Linked DNA regions of Xenopus tropicalis. The protein of the gene in region 3 purifies or fractionates together with the protein of the main gene of each other region. This does not show direct contact. Links are inferred from orthologs where the notes say so. Each region holds a gene or a part of one and is shown on either strand. Other genes may lie near its edges.

Evidence for each region.
Region 1: the proteins of tnrc6c (region 3) and pan2 purify together in Homo sapiens (affinity purification with western blotting; 3 studies listed by BioGRID and IntAct, with this or other methods). This does not show direct contact. The link is inferred for Xenopus tropicalis from reciprocal best matches to the Homo sapiens genes TNRC6C and PAN2.
Region 2: the proteins of tnrc6c (region 3) and cnot10 purify together in Homo sapiens (co-immunoprecipitation; 3 studies listed by BioGRID and IntAct, with this or other methods). This does not show direct contact. The link is inferred for Xenopus tropicalis from reciprocal best matches to the Homo sapiens genes TNRC6C and CNOT10.

Annotation. Positions count from the first base shown.
Region 1 is NC_030678.2:138,018,968-138,023,997, reverse strand, and holds the start of pan2 (PAN2-PAN3 deadenylation complex catalytic subunit PAN2), read right to left. Parts: upstream 2,944-5,030; 5' UTR 2,766-2,943; intron 2,322-2,765; 5' UTR 2,296-2,321; coding exon 2,020-2,295; intron 1,166-2,019; coding exon 996-1,165; intron 1-995. UniProt on the Homo sapiens protein: Catalytic subunit of the poly(A)-nuclease (PAN) deadenylation complex, one of two cytoplasmic mRNA deadenylases involved in general and miRNA-mediated mRNA turnover.
Region 2 is NC_030682.2:50,188,362-50,193,166, forward strand, and holds the start of cnot10 (CCR4-NOT transcription complex subunit 10), read left to right. Parts: upstream 1-1,862; 5' UTR 1,863-1,969; intron 1,970-2,017; exon of another isoform or gene 2,018-2,037; intron 2,038-2,116; exon of another isoform or gene 2,117-2,135; intron 2,136-4,094; 5' UTR 4,095-4,199; coding exon 4,200-4,221; intron 4,222-4,805. UniProt on the Homo sapiens protein: Component of the CCR4-NOT complex which is one of the major cellular mRNA deadenylases and is linked to various cellular processes including bulk mRNA degradation, miRNA-mediated repression, translational repression during translational initiation and general transcription regulation.
Region 3 is NC_030686.2:45,710,129-45,714,400, forward strand, and holds part of tnrc6c (trinucleotide repeat-containing gene 6C protein), read right to left. Parts: intron 3,438-4,272; coding exon 912-3,437; intron 1-911. UniProt on the Homo sapiens protein: Plays a role in RNA-mediated gene silencing by micro-RNAs (miRNAs). Required for miRNA-dependent translational repression of complementary mRNAs by argonaute family proteins.

The DNA of each region.
Region 1 (5,030 bases), on a different chromosome or scaffold from region 3:
AAACCCTCTTATAATGCTTGTGAAATAAATTATACGAAATAGCGATGTTGATACATACAGTACCTTTTAGGGCAGGGGTCGGGAACCTTTTTGGCTGAGAGAGCCATAAACACCACATATTTTAAAATGTAATTCCGTGAGAGCCATACAATATGTTTGGCTGCGGATGCTGCGGGGCAAGGTAGGGTGTGTCCCAAGGATGCCGGATGCGATGTGGAGACATGTTCTAAAGCTTAGAACACTTCTTCTATCCGCTGAGCGCAGGCCACGCCCCCCCATTATTTTTTTTGTTCAAAATTTAGCAGCAAGCCAGATGCAGCCATCAAAAGAGCCACATCTGGCTCCCGAGCCATAGGTTCCCTACCCCTGTTTTAGGGTATCAAAAGGAGAACACCACAGAGCAAGTACTAGTTTATAGGTAGAACATGTGTTTGTCAATATATGCCCTCACAGCCAAACTGTACATAAGCTAAATAATATAGATCAATATAACTAGATCAAACATATAAAATATAATGTAAATCTTTAGAAGGGCCAGGTGCAGAGTATGAACCCCCCTCCCTCCTGTCCCATCATCACTACATATCATCCCTATGCTATAACGTGTTCCCCTCCCCCTCCTGCACTTGTTTGTATCCATCTACTTCCTAACTGGGAGCTGGCGTGGAGTGGGGATTTACATGAAAAATGGAGGATGCAGGTCTACTTCCTCTATTATTACTCCACTGGATACACACACAGAGTCCACCAACTTTCCATGCCAGTGATGGCTGAAGCCCCACAATAGCTGTTCTTTAAAAACTCATTTCTAAAAGAAGAATTACTAATGGGTCATGCAACAGAGAAAATTGTGAGCTCAGCAGTATGCATCAGAAAAGAAAAAATGGGGAGGAACATTTTGATGACATGGATATGTGGATTTGGTTAAAGTTATATAAATTAATAAAGGTAACTAAGTAATATTTAAAAAAGTAGGTGTCCATTTACAAACTTACAGATAGTCAAAGATTATAAGCCCCCCACGGGTCATGCATTTCAGATTATTTTTCGTGAGGAACATCACCCCATTCTCCAGACTCTGGATCTGACGGATGTCATTACTGCCGTGTACTTGGAAAGAGGAATACCGTTCAAGGTCATGCCCAAAGAAGGAAGTGGCATGGCCCTACAGAAAAGAGATACAAAACATGGAGTTATGGTGAGGCATCATGCTAAAATGGGCTTTCTGCATATGTAGGCGGAGGCTTAAATGAAAACCTTGCATATCACCCTCTGCCCGCCTGGGGGGCTCTGCTAACAGCCCACTTGCAAATTATTGTGTCAGTGATCTGACATGAACCAAAAGAGGTCATGCACTAATTTTTATAGGCTACAGAAATATCTTTATATTTTGAAGCAAAGGTGTTCACTTATAATGCATATGGGTTTCCTGGTGCAAAAATATTTTGAGGTAAGGTGTGTAGGCTGGGAACAGAAAAGTAGAAATGCCCATGCTGATAAAGGCGTGATCAGTGGTGTGCGTGATCTAAGTCCATATTTATGAAAATTAGATATTGGCTAGACTACAGAAATTAAATTAGACTGTAAGCATACAATCATTAGTAAAAGGGAGAGGCCCAAAACTACAGATACACATATATATTTACAGAGTGTTTCAATGGATCTTGTATGAAGAGGACATAGATGCCAGTTCAGTATGTACAGCAAGGCTGTTAATCTGTAGACAGACTGCATAAATAGTGAAATAAACCCAATATCTTGATATTAGGAAGTGATAAGTATAAGGCAGAGCTATCAACCCCTCCTATTTCTTCGGGAGTTATCCATTTTTAAAGGCTCTCCCCATTCTCCCATCCCCCGATTTTTCTGAAGTCTGACTGTGACATCACTTCTGGGTATCAGGGAAATTTTGCCAGTTGACAGCTCTGATAAGGCTGTATTTTACATTACTATTATACTAAGAGATAATACAAAAAGGAAAACATAATACAAATGTGCAAGAGAAAAATAAATCCTTACCCCATGATTTCCAACCCATAACATCTCTTCATGAAGATCAAAGTGTACAGCAGAAACTGGTACTCCAACCTCAGACACCGCTGTCTGCAGCTCAGAGTACATTCCTTCCATCATGCTCACAGGATCCGCTACAGGGAGCCCTTCCAGTGCTTCATGATCCAGTTCCACTGTCTGCAAAAGGCTGGGGTTCAAGTGGGCATCAAGGACTGGGTCCAAAGGAGGATGCAGGCTTGGGGCATACTCTGCCAAAGCAGGGTCTAAGCCATCAAAATTCATGATGATTGTGGAGTAGGGTCCGTGGGCTAATGAAGAGAAAACAGTAACACTTTCTGATATGTAAAGAATTTATCCTTGGTATAAGTCACACACAACTTAAAATAATAGATATAGCAAAAGTCATATAAAAGATCAACTGAAGAAGAGGTGGAGGAGGAGGAGGGCCACTGCATGCTTATTATGGTTGTGAGTTTTACTATTCAGAGGTCTGAATATACAATCAATTGTATATTTGCCTCTCTCTTTCCAAATCACATCAGTAACAAGTCATATTTCGGTATCCTTGATAAACATCACATTCTGTATCCCACACTCTGTATATCTGTATGAGTGGACATTACTCAGTACGTAACAGTATCCTTTTGTTTCTACGAATGCAAACTCTGCATATTGGTATTGTAGTGCCTGTGTGTAACATCTCAGTGCAAAGAGCCATACATATACAAATAATAATCGCATAGCATACACACCTTCCTTTCTGCCCGCCTAAAGCACACAGCACAACTCTGGCTCTCTCATGCTCTGCTACTCTGCAGCACCAAGATGCAGGCACAGAGCTCTCTATCTGCCATAAAGAAACGAACCCAAACAGGAACAGTGTGCTTACGAGGGAGGAGCCTGCAGAGAAGCGTAAGGAAGGAAGCAGCAGCAGCAGTCATTGGCTAACAAATAATAAAGGCAGGTTGGGATTGCAGAATTAGGGATCGTCTGCAAATTTCATAACTTTTGGGAATGCGCATTAAAAAGTTCTGTACCACAAAGCATCCCAGCCTGAGAAAGTATAAATGCCCGATTTTTAAATAATGAAGCGGCAGGCTTACTGATACAAATATACAGTTGGTATAAACGGAGTACGAATGAGTTGAGAAGGTGTATGTTTCGTATGGTGTCTGGTAAGAAACTAATTTGCAGATAATCCCTAACTTTGCATCTCTCCGTCATGTCCCTATTCCTCCAATCAGTGACGCCCCTCCTACCCGTTTTGCGTTTTAACTTCCTGGTTGCCCTCTAAATATGTTTTGTCTTTTTCACAGCGTTAAAGTTGGATTTTTATTCAGTCGGTGAATAAGTAGCTGGTGTTTTAAATAAATAAATGATCTTGGGCCATAGATTTAAAAGTCCACTTTTATTGACAGTGTTGCCATGCTTGAACTGCAACCTGTTCAAGCCTGGGCAGGAAGACTGGCACCAAAGGGGGTAATAGTTTCTTATTCCGTCTGATGAATAAGTAACTAATTATGTAAAGGGTTAGATGACCCTGGCCACTGATTTTTACCTATACATTTGTAGGCAGGGGTGCCTTGCATTCAGGGCTGGAACTAGGGGTAGGCAGAAGAAGCAGCAACGCTTTGCCTACACCAAGGGGCACATTTACTTACTCACGAACGGGCCGAATGCGTCTGATTGCGTTTTTTTCGTAATGATCGGTATTTGGCGATTTTTCGGAAAATTGTTGCGACTTTTTCGTTGCCATTCCGAATGTTGTGCAAAATCTGGCGATTTTTTTCGTAGCGTTACTACTTGTGCGAAGAGTCGCAACTTTTTCGTAGCCTTCGCTCCGAGTACGAAAGATTCGGATTCATTCAAGCTTCAGTATGGTGACTTTTCTTGGGCCGGGTTGGAGCTGCAGAGTGCCATTGAGCCCTATGGGAGACTTTCCTTGGGCCAGGTTGGAGCTGCAGAGTGCCAATGAGCCCTATGGGAGGCTTTCCTTGGGCCGGGTTGGAGCTGCAGAGTGCCATTGAGCCCTATGGGAGACTTTCCTTGGGCCAGGTTGGAGCTGCAGAGTGCCATTGAGCCCTATGGGTGACTTTCCTTGGGCCAGGTTGGAGCTGCAGAGTGCCATTGAGCCCTATTGGAGGCTTTGCTTGGGCCAGGTTGGAGCTGCAGAGTGCCATTGAGCCCTATGGGAGGCTTTCCTTGGGCCAGGTTGGAGCTGCAGAGTGCCATTGAGCCCTATGGGTGACTTTCCTTGGGCCAGGTTGGAGCTGCAGAGTGCCATTGAGCCCTATGGGAGACTTTCCTTGGGCCAGGTTGGAGCTGCAGAGTGCCATTGAGCCCTATGGGAGGCTTTCCTTGGGCCGGGTTGGAGCTGCAGAGTGCCATTGAGCCCTATGGGAGACTTTCCTTGGGCCGGGTTGGAGCTGCAGAGTGCCATTGAGCCCTATGGGAGACTTTCCTTGGGCCAGGTTGGAGCTGCAGAGTGCCATTGAGCCCTATGGGAGGCTTTCCTTGGGCCGGGTTGGAGCTGCAGAGTGCCATTGAGCCCTATGGGAGGCTTTCCTTGGGCCGGGTTGGAGCTGCAGAGTGCCATTGAGCCCTATGAGAGACTTTCCTTGGGCCAGGTTGGAGCTGCAGAGTGCCATTGAGCCCTATGGGAGACTTTCCTTGGGCCAGGTTGGAGCTGCAGAGTGCCATTGAGCCCTATGGGAGACTTTCCTTGGGCCAGGTTGGAGCTGCAGAGTGCCATTGAGCCCTATGGGAGACTTTCCTTGGGCCAGGTTGGAGCTGCAGAGTGCCATTGAGCCCTATGGGAGACTTTCCTTGGGCCGGGTTGGAGCTGCAGGGTGCCATTGAGTCCTATGGGAGGCTTCCAAAATCATGCTAAGTCTGAAAGTTTCGCCCCGCCGCTTACGAGCGCTCAATACGAAAAAGTCGCGACAAGATACAACCGAATCGTAATGGCTACGAAAAACTTGTGTTTTTTCGCGCAAATCGTATTGGTAACGAAAAAG
Region 2 (4,805 bases), on a different chromosome or scaffold from region 3:
GACAATATAAGGTTTAAGCATGGTTCTGGCGGCAGTTACATAAGATTGGGTTCATCTACCTATTGAGCTAAATGCTCAGGATGTAATGGGGAGGAGTGGAAGAGTGCCGGGGATTTTATCATGTAAATGGGAGTGGAGTCCTTCAGTTTCCCTCCAGGTCACACCAAGGGCCCCAAACTTTATCGAATTTATTGGGCGCGCCCCTATTCTCGTATGTGAGTTTGTACAGAGGAACAACGGCATTCACTAGATTCTTCCAGGCTGTAACGGTGGGCAGGGTAGTGCCCATCCAATGCATTGCATGAAAGACATATTTTTAATGGTCAACAGCACGATCGTCTGGACCCAGTAGGAAAGTGGACTGTTGGCAGGGCCCAGCAGGGTGGAGGGTGAGTGGTGGCCAGAAGGTTGGGTGGTGTGCTGTCAGCAGGGTCTAGTGGGGAAGTCAGCCGGGCCTAATAGAGGGCATAAGCGCCATCTGACTGGGGACTGAATCAATGAGCCAATGCAGTTGCCAATCCGACGGGAAAATTAAACCTGGAGCACACAAGCAAAGAAAGGCTTCAGTTCCCTATCAGGTCAGCCTAGCTGCTGATTGGTTCCTATCCTACAGTGCAGTGTACGGAGGGCCGCCGGCTCCCCTGCACATCCAGAGAACTCAGCCAGCAGGAAGTGGAACAGATGGGTGGGGCTAGTGAGGTTTTTGTGGAATTTCTCAATAAAACAGTCAGAAACACAACTTTTTAAACACAATCCTTCTATATCTAGAGGATTATAATTCACTGGTACATTCTTAATTTTTATAGGATATGTCTCCTTTCAAAAGCTTATTGTTGTGCCCGCACCTGGGGCCATTGTGTTGGCCAAGTGCAGGAACACAAAGCAGATTTTGCCCCTTTTTTGCATGCTTGCGCTCAGCCTGACACAGAAAAAAAAAATATAACTATATTACTATACTATAACTATATTACTATATACTAGCGAGTGAATCTAAACGTGTATGGGGACCTTTAGAGCCCAAGATGCTTCAGATAAATAATGGACCTCTAATCAGTTCAATTTGTGAAATTAATTATGATTAGTGCTTTATCCTACAATTTCTTTAAACGTGGGACAAACAAGAAAAACAATAATGATGACAATTTCACATCCTAGTTTCAAGAAACCTTTTTGAGTTTAGATCTAATTGGGAAAAGGGGCTCTGAAGGCGACAGGTACTATTGGTAACAGGGGGAAACAAGTACTTCTCTTGAAGAAATTATCAGACCAAGTGGCAGCATGCACAGTGGGAAGCAAATATGAAACTTTTTTTTTTATTTATTTTCTTTTATCGTTCTCACACAAACGTATACAGAGTGAGAAAACCCTTATTCTTTTGATACAGAACAGACTGAGTTAAAGGAACAGTAACACCAAAAAATGAAAGAGCTTTAAAGTAATAAAAATATAATGCACTGTTGCCCTGCACTGGTAACACTGGTCTGTTTGCTACAGTAACACTACTATAATTTATATAATAAGCTGCTGTGTAGCCCTGGGGGCAGCCATTCAAGCTGGAAAAAAGGAGAAAAGGCACAGGTTACATAGCAGATAACAGATAAGTTCTGTAGAATACAATAGTGTTTTATCTGTTATCTCCTATGTGCCTGTGCCTTTTCTCCTTTGAATGGCTGCCCCCATGGCTACATAGCAGCTTATTTATATAAATTATAGTAGACTTTCTGAAGTAAACACACAGCTTTTACCAGTGCAGGGCAGCAGCACATTATATTTTAGTTACTTTTATACACTTTCATTTTTTGGTGTTACTGTTCCTTTAAGGCGATTTGCTCTTCCCACAAGGCGGCTGCGTCATGCGTCATTGCGCTTACGTGATTGTGACGCTAATCTCGCGTAATGAGATTTGTGGCTTTGGGATTTTCTGTGAGGTTGGAGGCTAGAACGCTTCAATAACGATTTTGTGGGAAGTGTAAGTAGCGATTCGAGAGTGCGGGCTACGTTAGGGGATTCGGGGCTGTTGGGCTGTGCGAATGCTGTGTAAGGGAAGGAACATGCAGGCACCCTAGCGATCGCCCTCGCCAAGTCCACAGATCACTGACAGTATGGGGGGCGGTAATTCAAGTAAACTCAACACGGTCAGGCCCACCTTAATACCCAAAATCCACCAGTGCCAGGGCTACTGTCCCACCTCTAGAGGCGGCCATGGGGAAATAGATGGGGTGTTAGAAAGCGTGTAGTAGAGAGAGATGACACCGCACTGACGATTAGTTTGTGTTTTATTTAGACCTCAGAACTCTACTCTGATCAGTAACACCACATGAAGGAGAGTGAATGTGTATAAAGGGATAGCACATTGGGCACTTGCTTGAAGTAAAGCAGAGTGAATGTGTATAAAGGGATAGCACATTGGGCACTTGCTTGAAGTAAAAGAGAGTGAATGTGTATAAAGGGATAGCACATTGGGCACTTGCTTGAAGTAAAGGAGAGTGAATGTGTATAAAGGGATAGCACATTGGGCACTTGCTTGAAGTAAAGGAGAGTGAATGTGTATAAAGGGATAGCACATTGGGCACTTGCTTGAAGTAAAGGAGAGTGAATGTGTATAAAGGAATAGCACATTGGGCACTTGCTTGAAGTAAAGGAGAGTGAATGTGTATAAAGGGATAGCACATTGGGCACTTGCTTGAAGTAAAGGAGAGTGAATGTGTATAAAGGGATAGCACATTGGACACTTGCTTGAAGTAAAGGAGAGTGAATGTGTATAAAGGGATAGCACATTGGGCACTTGCTTGAAGTAAAGGAGAGTGAATGTGTATAAAGGGATAGCACATTGGGCACTTGCTTGAAGTAAAGGAGAGTGAATGTGTATAAAGGAATATCACATTGGGCACTTGCTTGAAGTAAAGGAGAGTGAATGTGTATAAAGGGATAGCACATTGGACACTTGCTTGAAGTAAAGGAGAGTGAATGTGTATAAAGGGATAGCACATTGGGCACTTGCTTGAAGTAAAGGAGAGTGAATGTGTATAAAGGGATAGCACATTGGGCACTTGCTTGAAGTAAAGGAGAGTGAATGTGTATAAAGGGATAGCACATTGGGCACTTGCTTGAAGTAAAGGAGAGTGAATGTGTATAAAGGGATAGCACATTGGGCACTTGCTTGAAGTAAAGGAGAGTGAATGTGTATAAAGGAATAGCACATTGGGCACTTGCTTGAAGTAAAGGAGAGTGAATGTGTATAAGGGAATAGCACATTGGACACTTGCTTGAAGTAAAGGAGAGTGAATGTGTATAAAGGAATAGCACATTGGGCACTTACTTGAAGTAAAGGAGAGTGAATGTGTATAAAGGAATAGCACATTGGACACTTCTGTAAAGCAATTGGTTTAGTTGCCTGCAGCATAACTCTGAAAATACTCAGCAGTCGCACAATCTGTGCAATGGGTCAGAGAATAGATCAGCCCTGTGTCTTATATTGTCAGCAACAGGGCTATATGTGGTGGCACCAAGCTGTCGTGAAGTTACTTGAGCATTGGTGAAATTAGATTTGGGAAAGGTGCTGGCATTGACAGGGAACTCATTCCTCTAGAATAATTAGATACAGAAGTGGAAGTCACTGATACATCATTATAATTTTTTTTTAAGTGTCTAGTGTGGTAGGTCCAAGCCAATAGTGAATCATGTGCTTCCATACCTGCTTTTTATATGTACTCTCATAATAATTACTGTGTTTTTAGTATTTGGTTGAATTAAAATGCATTGCCAAGCTGCCTGACACTGGTCTGAGGGAGACCACCATCATTGTTGCATCGCCAAATGAGCCAAGTACTATAACTGTTTGTTCTCAGCTGCTCCCCACATCTCAAATGTTTTTATTTGGTGCAGAGATTGGCTTGTTTGTGTTGAGATCAGTGAACGTATTAACAGGAAAGTAGACATCATCCTTCCTTGGGGGGTGCAGGCAAGGGCCCTTCTAAAAACCTTGTTGTTTTTTTTTTACCCTAAAAGTGAACTTCCTATTTAAAAGCCTAAGTATTCTGAACCTTGCTTTCAGCCAAAATGTGTTATTGAACTTTTTCTGCTTGTTGTCTCAGGAACAAGAATTGGAACAAGCAAACACTGAAGGACCATCTTGTTAGACTGGATTAAAAGAATTTACTCACAAAGGAGTCATACACTATATCAGAGAAGATTCAAGAATGGCTGCAGACAAAGCAGGAGGTAGGTGTTCTTTTACTGTGATGTTGTACTGCTGGTTTTATTGGAACATAACACAAATCACTTGTGCGCACACAATCACTCTACTATAAATAGGCTTTGATGCATTTGTTAAGATGACTTTTTTAAATGTTTCAAAGTGTAATTTTTAAATTGAAAAACATTTTAAAAAATATTTCTGATGTACTATTTGAAAACCTATAAACAGAAAATAGTGCTTCGGAGGTGACTTACGCCCTTTAAATGAATTACTATTCCCAGTTAAGAAAGGACACTGTAACCACCTCACAGCACACCTGGGTGCATGCAACATGTGCAAAATTGTAACCCATGCAAAAAATATGCAATAATGCGCCCTTCCTTTTGATAACTCTGCCCCACATGTCAAAAGTTGGCATACTGGCAAAAGATGCAATGGCACTCAGGGGCTGTAAACGGGACAAGCCCTTTAAATCAAACTTTATTGTGGTAGTGCAATGTTTTGGGGCAAGGGGACCCCTTTATCAAGCAAGTTTATTAATATATAAATTATATATAAATATAAACAAAATGCCATGGTTTAAGAGTTGAGTTTTTTTTTGTATTCT
Region 3 (4,272 bases):
CCCTGGACCGACTTTGCCTATACCCGTTGTGAAATAGCCTAAATTCCCCCGTAGGTGGGGGATATCGGGAGAAGATCCGATATCCCCCAAGCAAGCGGTCTGAAGGTGTATGGGCACCTTTAGGCAGTGCACCGGATGCTGAGAGCTGCAGTTAAATAAACAGCTGAAGTGCTTACAAGATGGAGAGCCCTCATACTCAATGCTAATAACCAGATATTTATTAGTAAAGAATACTTGGTTGCTATGGGTTACTAGACCTGGTTTAAACCTTTTTGCCCATTACTACATGATCCCTCTAACTTCTATAAAGTAGATGTGAGGTGTCAGGTAGACAATACCCTAGAGAGGATTTAAAGATCCCTAAGGATTCTGGGGTACCAAGGGTGGGTCTCTGCTAAGACTGATGTTAAATGTGGCCTCTGGCATTGACGAAAACGTGATCTCGTGGGCACGGACTTCCTTACCATGTTTATTATTCAACTCCAATTTTAGACAGCTTTAATAGGACACCTAAGCCGCTAAGAACAAAGAGGCAGCATGTGAATAAGGAGATCTACCTGAGTCTAATCCTGCCGGCGCTTTCCCAGCCCCGAGGTGACATTGATAGGGTGCCCACTACTGCGCTTCTGTAGGAACTGGGGGAGATTAACCCTTTGCAGACAGAGTGTACTTGGAGTAGACTGTATGAGTTAGCACCAGAATGAGCAGAAAGGCAATGGATGCCGAGCCTAAAGCCTAAGCACTACCAACGCTGGCCAACCTGCCACCCTCTTGTATATTCAGTATAAGTATAAGTCTGGCAGTTGTAGTTCAGCAACAGCTTGAGTCTGAAGCATGCAGAAACACAACGAGAGCAGAATATGCTTAAGAATTAGTTCCACTCCATACACAAGTGGTTATGGCCAACCTACCTGGACCGAGCAGTGGGGATCGGTTCTGCTGGGCACTTGGCTGATGAGTTGGCTGAGGTTCAACCATATTGGTATTTGGAGGGGTGCTGGGAGTGGCGGCGGAGTTGGTGTTTGTTGCAGGGATGCTCTGAGATACCGGATTATTCCTATCCCACATGTTTACAGTTTTAATATAATTGCTCGGGTCACCCCAAGCTGAGGTACCATCGTCTATTTCCATCTTACGGCGTATAGACGGCGGAGAAGGCTCTTGCCAGCCGGTGGAATCAGCTCCAGCATCCTTTTGTTTGGTTGGTGGTGTTGCTGGCACCGGTCCACCAATCCACACAGATCCATTCTGTTTTACAGATGCTGCTCCTCCCCACCCACTCACATTGTTCTCTTGGGGTTTATTGGCCCAGTTTTGCTGCTGAGGAGCTTTCATGGGCTCCCCCCAGCCTGTACCGGAATTATTCTTGGTGTTTGTGCCATTTCCCCACCCGCTGGTCCCAGGCCGCGAGTTCTCGTTCCACCCAGATCCAGGCTTACTGTCGGAGTCCCACCCTGTCCCGTTTTTCTTTCCGTCGGTAATGTGTTGAGGAACAGGGGGCCCGTCGGTCCAGTCTCCGCCCGTAGAACTCCAGCTTGGATTTGATTTTTGCCCGTCGGCCCACCCTTGGGGTTTGGACTTGTGAGGCTCACTCCAGGTGGGCGACTTGTCCTCCTGATTAGCGGACGCGCTCCAAGCGTGACCACTTTTGGCAGCAGCATTGACAACAGTAGAGCTTGCGTGTTCCCCCCACCCCCCTGGACCATTTGGCGTTTTTTCTCCCCAGCTTGCACTTACAGGGGCAGACACAGGTTGGGTGTTCATCCACCCCGATACTGAAGAGGTATTGGTACTGTTCATGATGGACCCTTCACTCTTTCCCCCTGAGTTTGAAGGCTGAGTATTTGAACCCCCCCAGGCCTCCGTCCCAACATTTTTATGATCGGGACGCTGAAATTCTTCCAATTCCCATGCAATATTCTGTCTGACGGGGACCTGTCCCCAGCCGGTATTGGAAAGGACTCTCGGGTCAAGATCTTGTCTTGGCATCTGCTCTGCCATCCCAGGGTCTCCCTGCTGACCATCTCCTCCCTTCCCTTCATTGGCATTCCCAGCGCCGGTGCATCTGTCGTTGGCTGCAGTGACAGATGCAACCGCTTTGGCCCTAGAATTCATTTGCTCACCTCCCTGCTGGGTGCTCTGCATGCCAACGCTGGGGCTGTCCCACCCTGTGGGTCCTTTTCCATTCATGTCATTGCTGGAATGCTGGTTTGGGACCTTACCCCACTCACCGTTCACACCGTTACTTGTGCTATGTCCAGTATGACCCCATGGTCCGGGATGCATGCCTCCTACGCTGCCTCTGCCTCTCCCCCAAGGCAGCACCCCGGGGCTACTAGGTGGTCCTGAATCCCATGCACTCATTCCACTGCCATCTTTCTGAACTGCGCAGCCATTTTGTTTAGAGCTGCCATCTCCTCCTTCCTGACTGAACCCTGAACCGCAGCTTCCTACAGACGGGCCGCCCTGCGATAACCCCCACACCGAGCTGCCCGTGCCGTCACCTCCCGCCCCGCTGACTTGAGAAACTGAACCATTAGCACCAGGAAGGCCTTGCAGGTGGGGTGGGATGATGCCCCCCATTCCGACAGCCATCCCCCAGTTTGGCAGTCCATTTGTCTGCATTGCATTAATAAGGTTTGGTGAAGAATTCATGGGGTTAGTGTTATTTGGTCCATCAGTGTTAAGGTTCTGAGGTTGTACGCTGAAAGACACATTCTGAGAATTGGACGTTTGTGGTTCTGTGCTCTCTTGTGACTGCAGGTTCCTCCAGGCACCTAAACTACCAGCTGCGTTTCCATTCTGGTTGCCCATGTTCTGTCCAATGGCACCGACTGGACTTGAAATGCTGGAAGGACTGCCGCCTCCCAAAGTCCCTTCATGTCCAAGTACAGGCCAGGCAGCTGGGTTGGCATTCGGGTTAAGGTTAAGATTAATGCCAGTATTTGGGTTGGAAGCGCCCCAGCAGTTATGACTCCTGCTCTCCCCAATCATGTTGTCCACCTTGCCATCCCCACCACCAATAGGGCAGTGAGCAATGCCAGAGCTGGAGCCTGGAGCGACACCCCAAACTCTGGCTAAGTTCCCATTACCATTTGCCCCACCAGCTCCAAGGGCACTCTGGTTAGAAGTGCTTTGGATGAGTGCTCCATTGGCGCCATTATTGCCATTTGTTTTCTTTGTATGTCCAGTGAAGTTGCCTTGGGCACTAGTAGCCATGCTACTTTTCTCTGAGCCACAGTTGGAGGCAGAGTCAGTGTCTGTAGTACATTCTGAGGCAGATTCACTCTCAGTTCCAGTAATGGAAGGCCACGCTTCCTTGTCAGTCCTGTCTATTATCACTTTATCCCAGCTACAAGTGGCTTCACCTCGGAGAGACGGCTGCAGTCCCCAGTGGGAATTCTCATAATGGTCTCCCAAACCACTGTGACTGAGATCTGCCAGGGGGAAAGAAAAGGCACATGTTAGTCAGCTGAATGCTTCAATACTATGCCCCCCCCAGTCCCCGTAGTGCTGGGCACCCTATACACATACTAAGTGCCTCTACCTCTACTGCCTTGTAATATATCCATTCCTCAGGGCCAGAATATCTGTGCTATGAAACGTGGCAAGGTAAACAAAGCATAGGAATGGGATAGGGCCCTTAGATTGTAAGCTCACTGGGGCAGGGACTGATAGGAATGGGATAGGGCCCTTAGATTGTAAGCTCACTGGGGCAGGGACTGATGGGAATGTGATAGGGCCCTTAGATTGTAAGCTCACTGGGGTAGGGACTGATGGGAATGTGATAGGGCCCTTAGATTGTAAGCTCACTGGGGCAGGGGCTGATGGGAATGGGATAGGGGCCTTAGATTGTAAGCTCACTGGGGCAGGGACTGATGGGAATGTGATAGGGACCTTAGATTGTAAGCTCACTGGGGCAGGGGCTGATGGGAATGGGATTGGAACCTTAGATTGTAAGCTCACTGGGGCAGGAACTGATGGGAATGGGATAGGGACCATAGATTATAAGCTCACTGGGGCAGGGGCTGATGGGAATGGGATAGGGACCTTAGATTGTAAGCTCACTGGGGTAGGGACTGATGGGAATGGGATAGGGACCTTAAATTGTAAGCTCACTGGGGCAGGGACTGATGGGAATGGGATAGGGACCTTAGATTGTAAGCTCACTGGGGCAGGGACTGATGGGAATGGGATAGGGACCTTAAATTGTAAGCTCACTGGGGCAGGGACTGATGGGAATGGGATAGGGACCTTAAATTGTAAGCTCAC